3 linked regions of the Ovis aries genome follow. The protein of the gene in region 3 binds, or shares a complex with, the protein of the main gene of each other region. Links are inferred from orthologs where the notes say so. Each region holds a gene or a part of one and is shown on either strand. Other genes may lie near its edges. The genes, in order: PRKCZ, CDH5 and PARD3.

Region 1 (3,649 bases), on a different chromosome or scaffold from region 3:
GTGTGTGGATGGTGGGTGGGTGGGTGGTGGGTGGACATGGGTGGACAGGTGGGTGGGTGTGCGTGGATAGTGGGTGGATGTGTGTGAATGGTGGGTGGGTGGAGAGTGAGTGGACGTGTGTGGATGGTGGGTGGGTAGATACGTGTGGATGTGGACGACAGGTGGGTGGATGTGTGTGGATGGTGGGTGTGGGGGGTGGGTGGAGAGTGGACGTGTGTGGATGGTTGGTAGGCATGGGTGGTGGGTGGGTGGGTGTGGATGGTTGGGCGTGGGTGGCGGGTGGATGTGTGTGGATGGTGGGGGTGGGTGGAGAGTGAGAGGATGTGTGTGGATGGTGGGTGGGTGTGTGGATGGTGGGCATAGATGGTGGGTGGGTGGGTGGGTGGATGTGTGGACGGTGGGGGTGGTGGTAGGTGGACATGTGTGGATGGTGGGCGTGGGTGGAGAGTGAGTGGACGTGTGTGGATGGTAGGCGTGGGTGGTGGGTGGACGTGTGTGGATGGTGGATGGTTGGTGGGGGTGGATGGTGGATGGGTGGGTGGTGGGTGGGTGTGTGGTGGGTGGGTGTGTGTGGATGGTGGGCATGGGTGGTGGGTGGATGTGTGTGGACAGTGGGGGTGGGTAGAGAGTGAGTGGATGTATATGGATGGTGGGCGTGGGTGGATGTGTGTGGATGGCGGATGGTTGGTGGTGGGTGGATGTGGCCTCTCATCACTCCTGGGGAAGGAACAAGCGTTTACTGAGTGAGGCCTAGGCCCTCGTCCACCCTTGTGACTATGCACAGAACTGCAGAAGCTCAGAGCACGGCCATAAGTCCAAATGGAATCAAAATTGCTCTCTGAATGCTTCTTAGCAGTAAAAAAAAAAAAAAAACAAACAACTCTCCACAACCAAAAAAAAAAAAAACCTACTGAAACCCAAGAACTATGCAATACTGGGCACGGCAGACCTTTCCAGAGACATGAATCTGTGGTGGCCACTGCACTAGAGCCTCCTAGAACTCCTGAGGTTGCAAGAGAGGGAACCCCAGCCCCCACCCTGACTCCCATGGGCAGCAGCATAGAGATGTGGGCGCCCAGGGCAGGCAGCCCGCCCACCCTTGCTCTGGAGAGGCCGCCCCAGCCCTGCAGCGAGTGGCCACACTCACAGGCCCTGGCCTGGGAGAAAGGATCTAGAAAGGGTTCTGGGGGTGGGAGCAGCAGCCCTACTTCCGTCGCTCTCCTCGGAGGGAAGGTCCACGTCATCGCTCTTGTCGTCCACTGCAGGCTCCTGGGAAGGCATGACGGAATCCTGCAGAGACACGGGCCGAGTGACCAGGCAGCACTACACGGGGCTTCTGGAGACACTGCGTGACCGGGACTCACTTTCACATACACTGTGATGTCACAACACACGTCATTCACCTGTTACAGCATCGCCCTGAACATGGCAAGATGAGCACTGAAATTACCTGCGTTCCCACAGGCGGAGGTGGCCGCTCAGCCCTCAGGCTCCACCCTTCTAGCAGGCACTTATAAAATGTGTCTTTTCACATAGCAACGCTTAGTCCCGTCAGCCCTGCCCTCATTGCACAGCGGCCGCAGTCAGGCCCCAGCTCCAGGTTCCACGGCTGACATCACAATCGAGGCAGCTCCCTATTGGTGGACCCTGGGGCCCCAAGAGTGCTGGGGGACTCCTGGGGCTTGGAAACAGGTCCCGACCCAACTGCTGACCCAGGCCGTCACTCTGCAGCCCCTACATCACCCCCTCTTCTCATCTTGTGGGTAGCAGGGATGGGGTTAGCATCCCAGCTGGGCAGGGAGAGGCCAAGGGTCCCCAGGGGCAGCAGTGTGGACTGCACCCCAGCCGGCCGAGGTGTCCACTCACCATATGCCTGCTGCAGGTCAGTGGGACGAGCACGTAGCAGCGCTTATGAACCAGCAGTTTGCAGTGGATGCACCTGTAGCCCTGCCTCGCGAGGCCCCATATCCTCTCGCTGCACTGGCCGCAGTACGCTCTCTGTGTGGACAAGAACAGGCACCATCAGCCAGGCCTGTGCCCCCATGGTTTCTCCACACCAAGAGGACACACCTGTGCCCCCATGGTCCCTCCGCACTGAGGGGACATGCAGCCAGGCCAGGAAGAGGCCTCTTCATACAGGGTACCAGGCCCCACCCAGGCCCAGTAGTCCTGACTTGGGTCTTTCCCAAGGTTAGGGGAACCAAGGCCCCGAGGTGCTGGGCTATGCTCCCATAGGACCTTGTGGGCAGGTAATGAGACCTCTCCATGGGCAGGGCCTCCTTGCCTGCAGGACCTGGAGCGGGGCTGCAAATCCATTCTGGCTGTGCTCAGATCGGCCGAGGCGCCCCGCCAGAGTGAAGTGACCCAGGTGAGAAGGTCGTGGGGGAGCCTGACCACTGCATGACCCTCGTCCAAACCCACATGACCCCTGCATGACAAACACAGAGGCAACCATGCCTGGCAACTGAATGCATCTGGATTCTGAACTGCTCTGGGGCTCCATGCGACTCAGTTCAGTTCAGTTGTGTCCAACTCTTTGTGACCCCATGGGCTGCAGCACGCCAGGCTTCCCTGTCCATCACCAACTCCTGAAGCTTGCTCAAATTCATGTCCATTGAATCAGTGATGCCATCCAACCATCTCATACTCTGTTGTCCCCTTCTCCTCCTGCCTTCAGTCTTGCCCAGCATCAGGATCTTTTCCAATGAGTCAGTTCTTTGCATCAAGTGGCCAAGGTATTGGAGTATCAGCTTCAGCATCAGTCCTTCCAATGAATATTCAGGACTGATTTCCTTTAGGGTTGACTGGTTGGATCTCCTTGCTGTCCAAGGGACTCTCAAGAGAGTCTTTAACACCACAGTGCCTTTGAGTGTTTGAGTGTCTCCTGCAGAGGTACAGGTTAGCAGTGGCCTGCGACAGGGGCAGGGACTCTGGGTGCCGCAGACCTGGGTGTGGTATAAGCCCTCTTGAAGGAGGTCGCCATTAACTCTGCCATAGAGCCGTCAGAACTTACACAGGACTGGGGAAACAGACTCTTGGAGGGCACAAACAAAACCTTGTGCACTCCAGGACCCAGGAGAAAGGAGTAGTGACCCCACAAGAGGCTGACCCAGACTTGCCTGTGGGTGTCCATGCTAGTACGAGTCCACCCTTGTATTTTTCTCAGCATTTTAAAAATATTTTAAATGGTCAATCTTTGTTCCTCTTGGTTATAAACGCTTGAAACTCATGATCATGACTGGCTCGTTTGGTGAGGTTTTTGTAATTCTGGAAGTCACAAAATGCAAAGATGAGTGTGTCCAGAAGTGAGGTCACCTGCCCACCACTTGGAGCCCAAGCTGTCTCCTTGGTTACATGGTGTCTGTACGTTGGCAGGCTCCTGCTTACTTCTGTTCCAGCCATATCTCATTTACATGTTTTACCCTCTTTTGCCATGTTTAACAAATTTCTTTCCTTCAAGAAAGTTTCAAATTACTCCTGGAGAACAGAAAGGATGCACTGTACTGGTACTGACCAGAGCAAATCTTCCCCAAGAGTGGGCTAAGGGTGCAGGACCGGCTACTGGCAGCCAGTGGGCACAAGGAGCTCATTTCCCCCCAGGAAGGAGCCTCTCCTCCACACAGAGTACGTACATCTCAGTCACAGCGAC
Region 2 (3,649 bases), on a different chromosome or scaffold from region 3:
TGGTGCGTGTGTGTGTCCTCCCTACTGGCCGAGAGCGTTGGTACCATGGGGGCTGTTCGACTCCCCTGGGTATATCCAGTTCCCAGCACAGGGCTGGATCAGAAAAGGACTCCAGAGAGGTCTGCTGGAGGAGTGGTCTGGCTCAGGTACACAGGTTCGAGTGTCCCCTCTGAGGAGGAGATCCCTGGCCTGGGCCCCCTAGTCCTCGGCGTGGCCATTCTGGAGGCAGTTTGTGCCCCCGGCAGACCTTGTCTCCTCTTCTAGATTCAGCTGGTTTGCCCTCTCTGCAGCAGCCACTGCCAGTGGGCACCCCATCCCCATGGTATTCACTGTGTCCTTACACACTGACAGCTTTTGGCTGCAAGCACCTGTACTCTACCAGGGCTGTCCTCGCCAGCGCCCAGGGCAGATCAGAAAGTGCCAGGAAGTGGGCCCCCAGGAGCCCTCAGGCAGCCCACAACTGCTGCGACTCAGAAGCATGTTCCGCATAGTTGCCTAGATGTCCCCAGTGGGACCGTTTCCCACTCACCCACAGTGATCACCTGCTCACTAAGGAGCCTGTCTTAACTCTCCTCCCTTTTACATCTCACTGCTCCTGGGGGCTTCCTGAGATCACCCCCCAAATGAGCTGTATACACCTAAGTCCTTGCCTCAAGGTCTGGTTCTGGGGTAGCCCAGCCCAAGGGACTGACCCTTCTTTCGTGGCTCCACGTCCCAGCTCCAGGGTCACAGGATCCACGAGCACGTGGCCTGCTCCACGCTGGCCCAAACGTGGACCTTTGGTGGCCTCTGACCCAGGAGCAGCCCCTGGCTGAGTCCTGAGCATGCCAGGGCCCCCAGTCCCCCATCTGATGCCACAGCTGCAGGCCTGCGAACCTTTATGGGCTTGATGATGCCCTCGTTGTGGGTGGGGTCCGTCTCGATGGTGAAGGTGTCCCTGTACTCGCCCTGCACGAAGCTGTACTTGGTCTTCCGGTTTTGGGGCTCATCTGGGTCCTCAACAAACAGAGAGCCCAGGGGGCTGCCCACGCGGATGTCTTCTGGCACAGAAAATGTGTACCTGGCTGATGCAGAAGGGGTGCCCCAAAGGGCATGGGGTTAATGAGGTAGACAAGGTAATTGTCGCATATACTATCCCAGTATGTTCTGATACAAGCAACAGGCACAATAAAGTAGCAGAAGCAGTAGTAGTAATTCCTCTGGAATTTTGGGTCTCAAGGCACAGAGGTTCCACTCATCTGTCCTTTCATCCCTTCATCCATCTGACAAGTAGTTATCAAGCACCCCCTGTATGTCAGGCACTTTGCTGGGGGATCTGTCAACTGCCAAGAGGAGAAGCCCTGCCTTTGAGGAGCTTTCACCATTCACAGTGAGGTCATTTCAGGGCACGCTGGCCTGTCCTTGCAGTGGCTGAGCCTCTGAGTGGCATCAGCCTTGGAGGTGCAGGTGATGAGCCTATCTGACCTCCTCCCCACCCAGCGCGTGTGAAGAGCTCCTGTTGGACATTTTCCTGTGGGGAGAGTCAGTCTGTGGGTGGGTCAGGGCCCAGCCCTGGCTCTGGCGCTCTGCTGAACCCTGGCTCCCCAGCTCGTGGGTTTTCCCAAGCTCATGGAAACTGGGTGAAACTGGTCCTGTCTGTTAGTGGGACTCTGGGCATGTGGGACACAACAGAGAGTATGATCTGCTGCTGGCCCAAGAGGGCGCCCTGGCAGGCCAGGTGTGCAGCCTTGGGAGTATGTGCAGAGACGGGGAGCGCCGGGAAGCCATCTCTGATGTAGGCTCACTCTGGGGTGGAGGGAGAGGTGGATGGATGCCAGGCTCCTCCCTGAGAGCACCGCCCCCACCAGGGCCCAGGGAGAGGGGCTCACACTGGGTGAAGATGGGGAAGTTGTCGTTGACGTCCTGCAGAGTGATGAACACAGTGGCTGTGCCTGACTCCCCCCGGCGGCCCTGGGCGTCTTCTGCTTCCACCACAACCTCGTACTTATCCTGCGTCTCTCGGTCCAGGTGTTTGTTCATGGTGACAATGAGTCCTGCAAAATGTGTCCTGTCAGGAACCATGCTACCTGAGGAACTTTTAAAGAATATGGATGCCCAGACGCTACCCAGAGAGCCGTGACTTCAGAGCTCCTGGGTGACGTCCCTGTGCAGCCAGGGCCAAGAGCCAGGGGACATCCACCACCCATCTCCACGCCCTGCACTGTCAGGCCAAAGCCACACAAACACTTTTGTCCACTGTGGGCCGAGAAAGAGCCTGAGGCCACATCTAGGCTCAGAGTGAGCAAAGTGCTGTGATGGGTTATGCCTCAGTGCAGCATAGGTTGTGTATTCGCCATTGTTCTGAATGGTGGCATGCCCCAGGCCTGACCACTTGGACTTTTGTCTTTCTCCAAAGACTCAGTCCTTACAGTTTTTTTAGGTCACATGTGATAGCTAATGACAACGAGCCACATGCTCTTTATACGTCATCTAATTCAGACTTCACAGCTCCTGTATGGGGTGCGTGCATATAACCTTCCCCATTTTCACCATGAGGACTCGCCAGTGCTCAGAGGTTGGTTGATTTGCCCAAGGTCTTTAGAAGTGGTGAGCAGCAGAGATGGGGTTGGAAACCAGATCTGTGTGGTTCCATAGCCAGAGCTGCTAACTAGCCTTCTCGTCTGCCTCTCGTGTCACTGCTTGGGTGGATTTTTGTCCCCTGGACTTGAGTTTACATCCTGGGCACCTGTCTGCCTCCTCCTGCCCTCACCAGCCCCCTTGTCTTGACGCGTGGTACCGACCGCCTCCACAGGACACTGCGAGTCAGTGTTTGGTGACATCTGTCAGACTGGGCTTCCCTCTGTGCCTACACCTCCACCCGCTCCAAGCCAGTGCTGCCCAGGGGGGTTAGTCACACGGACCAGGGCCACGGATGTCGAAACTGTCTTTTCCCTTTGTGAGCTGGTACACGACAGAAGCGTGGTCTGCCACTGTGGGGTCATCTGCATCCACTGCTGTGACCTGGATGACCGAGGTCCCTGCCGGGAGAGAATCCAGGGTTACTGCCTTGTGACCACCAGCCCCTCACCCCATTCCCAGATGAGGGCAGATGGGGCTCAGGCTGTCCCCTGAACCCCCTCTCCCGGGTCCTGTTTTCTGAGGAGCCTGCCTGGCGCTGAAGTGCTGACAGTGGCGGAGGCCCAGCCAGTCAAACATGTAGGGTGAAGAGAGCAGTGGTTTTCTTTTATGGGGGAAATGAGGGGAGGGGTGAGTGTCTGCAGTCATGGAGAGAAACAGAGGAAGAGCTGCTCTATTTTTGCTCCTGGAAGCATGAGAACAAGAGAATAGGAAGGGTCCCAAAAGACTGGGTGTCGCATGTCTTTCCCCTTGAACTCCAGGCTCCCCAGGCTTAACAAGAAGGTCTGGTCTTGAGCCCTAACCAGAGAGCCTGGACGAAGGGGTGGGGATGGGAGCTCTTTTCTTGCATCCCCTGGAGGCTGGGAGTAGAATTGAGGAAGAAATAGTCTCCTCTGGGGGCCTAGGGTCCAGGCTGGTGACATACCTGGGGATGAGGTGTGTCCCTCTCCACTGCTCCCCCCGCGACTCCTAAATAGACCCTAAAGGTAACCCCTTATCTTGATGGCAGAGTTGGCCTCCTTCATGTGTGAAG
Region 3 (3,649 bases):
TTATGAAGCTTTTATCCCTTATCTTGCCCATAAAATCAACATCTTGTCTTCATTCCTACTGGCAGTACCATCCTCCTCTGACTTAACCTAAGCAAGCCATAAACCTCACCTCCCCACAGGAAATACAGGGGACGGAAAGTCAAATGACACCCCAAGGAAACAACCAGACAAGTCCAGAAGTTGAGACCTTAATAACACAACTGCACTGATTTCTTTTTTTTGAATGCACAGTATCTAGTATCTAGATGCAATGTATGATACTGAAGTGGACCCTGCGTCTGGAGAGAAATTTTATTTAAAAAACAAAAAGCTGGGACAATTGAAGAATCTGTCTTATCATGACAGAATTAATTAACAGAAAATTTCCTGGAAGTGATCAGTATGTGACCCAGGAATTTAAAATGTTTGTCTACATGGTCAAGATGTATATAGAAAATCAGATGTTTTAATAAACAGTACTACAAAATAGGAAAGCAGCTACACACCCAACAATTAGAAATTGAGGACATATAATCCATGAAATACTGCACCGCAATTTAAATGCTGTGCACAGAACACCATGAAAGGTAGCATCTCATCTTTAGTCTGAAGTAGAATCTGCAGCCACAGACAATGGGAAAGAACTGCTAAACTCAATTGGCCACCCTTCTGATTTTCCATAAGAAACATATATGTATAATTTCATAATTTTATCACCTTAAGTAACAAGTGAATACATCCCTTCCTTTCCCCTTCCTTCTTTTCTTGTTCTCAATAATGGAATCACCTTCTAACTCATCTCACTGCTTCCAGGCTCCTGTCTTAATCCTCTCTACATCCTGAGACTGCATTCATCTTCACAAAACACCTATTTCATCGTGTCCCTGCCCTGGGATGAGTCACTTCCAGTGACTCACTACATCCTAACCACTAAAACCCAACGTCCTCGGCCAAGCACTCAACACTCTCCAAGCCTGCTTTTCCGGACTCTCTGTGGATCCTACCCTAGGCACCCAGAGCCAAGCCCGAGACAGAGCAGGTGCTCAGTAGACACTGGTCCCTTCCCCTCCACACAGCTGAGAGCATTCACCCCACAATTCCAGTGACCCAGGCTGTCCTTCCCTCTCCCACAGAGATCACAACCACCTCCCCGTGAAATGCCCTCCGACCCCAAGGTGTTCATCCAGACCACAGAGGTGTCACATGATAGCCTGTTTCCTTGCACACGCATGGAGATACTTTTTTATCTCTAGATAAGTTCCCCAAATGCAGGGATCATCTTCTGCTCTTTAGCACAAAACAATGAACAAAACACCATGCTGTTGCACAAATAATGTATAAAATACATATAATAAATAACCCAATTGGACAAAAAAGAAATTTCAACAAGACTTTCTCGGAAAACTAGAATCCACGAAGAGGCTTATGCTCCCCTAACCACCAAAAGAAACCCCATGGACACGGGCGCCTGTTGGGATCAACGCTCCCTTTATCCTGTATCCTCTGACTTCAGGCAGAGCTTGCTCAAGAACCTCAGTGTGACTATCCTGGCTGACACTCCAGATGGCCTGAGCTGTGGGGAAAGAAGCCTTCCAGGTACTTTATCCTCCCAACGTAAAGGAACCCAATTTCCTGCAGAAACACCTTCATGCTCACGCGCAGAGCTGCATCCCCAGCACCGCTGGCCTGGAGGACCAGGCAGAAGTTGAGTTTATGCTGGTCACACCTGCTTACAACTTAGGAAAAGGAGAGCCAGACAACAGCTTACTGAGGCCAGCCACGTTCTCCCCGATTACGTCCCAGGGAGGGTCAGGACGCCCAGGGCAGACGGTGGGCAGTACTGTCACCTGATAGGCCAGAGGCACCAGGAAAGGGCGTGAGACAGTAAATGAGGCTGAGACCCGAAAAACAATATGGACCTACAGGAGTGTCCTCCCCAGCTCCAAGCCTCTCCTTCCAGGCCTGGGGACCACCAGAGAGCTGAAGGTGGGCGCCTGCACCAGGCCTCCCTGGGCCTCCCTAACCCTCCCGACTCCACGAGGGGCCAGCATGGGGCCACTCATGCACAGCAATGGTTTTCAGGACATTCATTCGAGGTAAATGCTTCCGGCTCCATGTGCAGGTGTGAGGCCAGGGGAGCAGGAAACCCAACCTGTCTGAGATCATGGAAGAGAAAGGGCATTTCAGCTCAGATGTCACTCTGACTTCTCAGTGACTGCTCTGCTCTTTTGGACGCACTGCTTCTTGCACAAGGATCAAATGGATTTGTTAGGAGGACACACGAGGAAGGGAAAATCTGATCAGGATAGAGTCTTGTCTTTTCTTTCTTTCATTCTTTTTTTTTTTTTTTTCACTTAGAATGGGAAAAAATAACAACGAAAAATATGTAACCCAAGTCTACACGTATATAGACTAGACTATCTTCAGTTTAAGGAAGTAATGTTTTACCCCCAGTGTCACCTATAAAGACATATAGATTTAAGAAGCATGTCGGCACCTGTAAGTGCTGGATTCCAAGCTGCAGGGAAAAAAGCAAAAATCCCATAACCATTAAAGGGCTTTCCAGGTGGCACTAGTGGTAAAGAATCTGCCTGCCAATGCAAGAGACATAAGAGACCCCTGGGTGGGGAAGATCCCCTGGAGGACAGGGCAACCCACTCCAGTATTCTTGCCTGGAGAATGCTATGGACAGAGGAGCCTGTCAGGCTACAGCCCATAAGGTTGCAAAGAGTCGGACACAACTGAAGCAACTTAGCACACACATACAACCATTAAAACCAGGCCTCAGACCCCTCAGGGCAGAGACCCATCCTGGGGCACCAGCAGCCCACAGCACCTGTACACATCAGGCAACAACTGAGATCTTCTAAAGTGAACTAAGATGCTGAATGTTTTTCTACTGTTTATAAAGAAATAACCAACCTAAGAGATCCTCAAGGTTCTTACCCAGCTTCACAAAAGAAAAACCTCCCCTCTCCTATTTACTCCCCAACCAGCCAACAAGAGAGGCTGACTCAGACAAAAAGGAATTTCTCCGACAGAAAGAAAGCCTCCCTGAAACATGATAAACTCTAATAGTGCAAAATTCTAAAACAAACCAACCAAATTTGACCCCAAAGCAGCTCTCGACACCCCCATCCTATGACTTAATCCAAAAACCACCTCCCATCTTTCTTTAAAGATGTTATCTCAAGTTGCTTAAAAATCCACAATTAATTCCTTACATCTGGCAGTACCCAACTGGACTGAATCAGAAGAATGACTCGTGAACTAACAGAGGAGACTGTGAGGAAACGGTGGGTTTTGATAGTTAGATAATTTGCACCTACCTGGGGTCTCCTTTTTAGAAGCCTGGGCACACAGCCATCCAGCCGCACTCTGTGGCCCCTACACTCAAACTCAGCATAGCCCCCGCTGCGCAGGGTCCGGCGAGGAAGGCCACAGCACCACCACATCACAGGGGTGGCCCCAAGATGGGGGACAGCAGATGCTGGTACTCAGAACGTGGCTCCAACTGCAGGCACTCGGGAGGTGGAAAGGCCTGTCCCAGTGTTTCCTGGGACTGCTGATGCCAGAGGTGGAGCACCCTCCTCCTCCCAGGACACTCCCAGCATGGGTCCAGGGCGGGAGCTATGATGGTATCTTCAAAAGATGTGCCAGAGACCAGAGT

The links.
Region 1: PARD3 (region 3) and PRKCZ share a complex: the UniProt entries of both Homo sapiens proteins name them as parts of the par polarity complex. The link is inferred for Ovis aries from reciprocal best matches to the Homo sapiens genes PARD3 and PRKCZ.
Region 2: the proteins of PARD3 (region 3) and CDH5 are in contact, whole or in part, in an NMR structure (PDB 2KOH), measured with the Mus musculus proteins. The link is inferred for Ovis aries from reciprocal best matches to the Homo sapiens genes PARD3 and CDH5. Residues at the interface, in NP_296369.2 of Mus musculus: Ala599, Gly600, Leu601, Gly602, Val603, Ser604, Val605, Lys606, Gly607, Arg609, Lys611, Lys622, Ile625, Asn655, Gln656, Met659, Arg663, Met666; in NP_033998.2 of Mus musculus: Tyr774, Gly775, Asp777, Gln779, Glu780, Glu781, Leu782, Ile783, Ile784.

The regions. Positions count from the first base shown.
Region 1 is NC_056065.1:49,930,797-49,934,445, forward strand, and holds part of PRKCZ (protein kinase C zeta type), read right to left. Parts: intron 1,999-3,649; coding exon 1,867-1,998; intron 1,291-1,866; coding exon 1,209-1,290; intron 1-1,208. UniProt on the Homo sapiens protein: Calcium- and diacylglycerol-independent serine/threonine-protein kinase that functions in phosphatidylinositol 3-kinase (PI3K) pathway and mitogen-activated protein (MAP) kinase cascade, and is involved in NF-kappa-B activation, mitogenic signaling, cell proliferation, cell polarity, inflammatory response and maintenance of long-term potentiation (LTP).
Region 2 is NC_056067.1:33,719,305-33,722,953, reverse strand, and holds part of CDH5 (cadherin-5), read right to left. Parts: intron 3,018-3,649; coding exon 2,901-3,017; intron 2,034-2,900; coding exon 1,869-2,033; intron 1,065-1,868; coding exon 877-1,064; intron 1-876. UniProt on the Homo sapiens protein: Cadherins are calcium-dependent cell adhesion proteins. They preferentially interact with themselves in a homophilic manner in connecting cells; cadherins may thus contribute to the sorting of heterogeneous cell types.
Region 3 is NC_056066.1:17,899,192-17,902,840, reverse strand, and holds part of PARD3 (partitioning defective 3 homolog), read right to left. Parts: 5' UTR 3,435-3,649; coding exon 3,309-3,434; intron 1-3,308. UniProt on the Homo sapiens protein: Adapter protein involved in asymmetrical cell division and cell polarization processes. Seems to play a central role in the formation of epithelial tight junctions. Targets the phosphatase PTEN to cell junctions.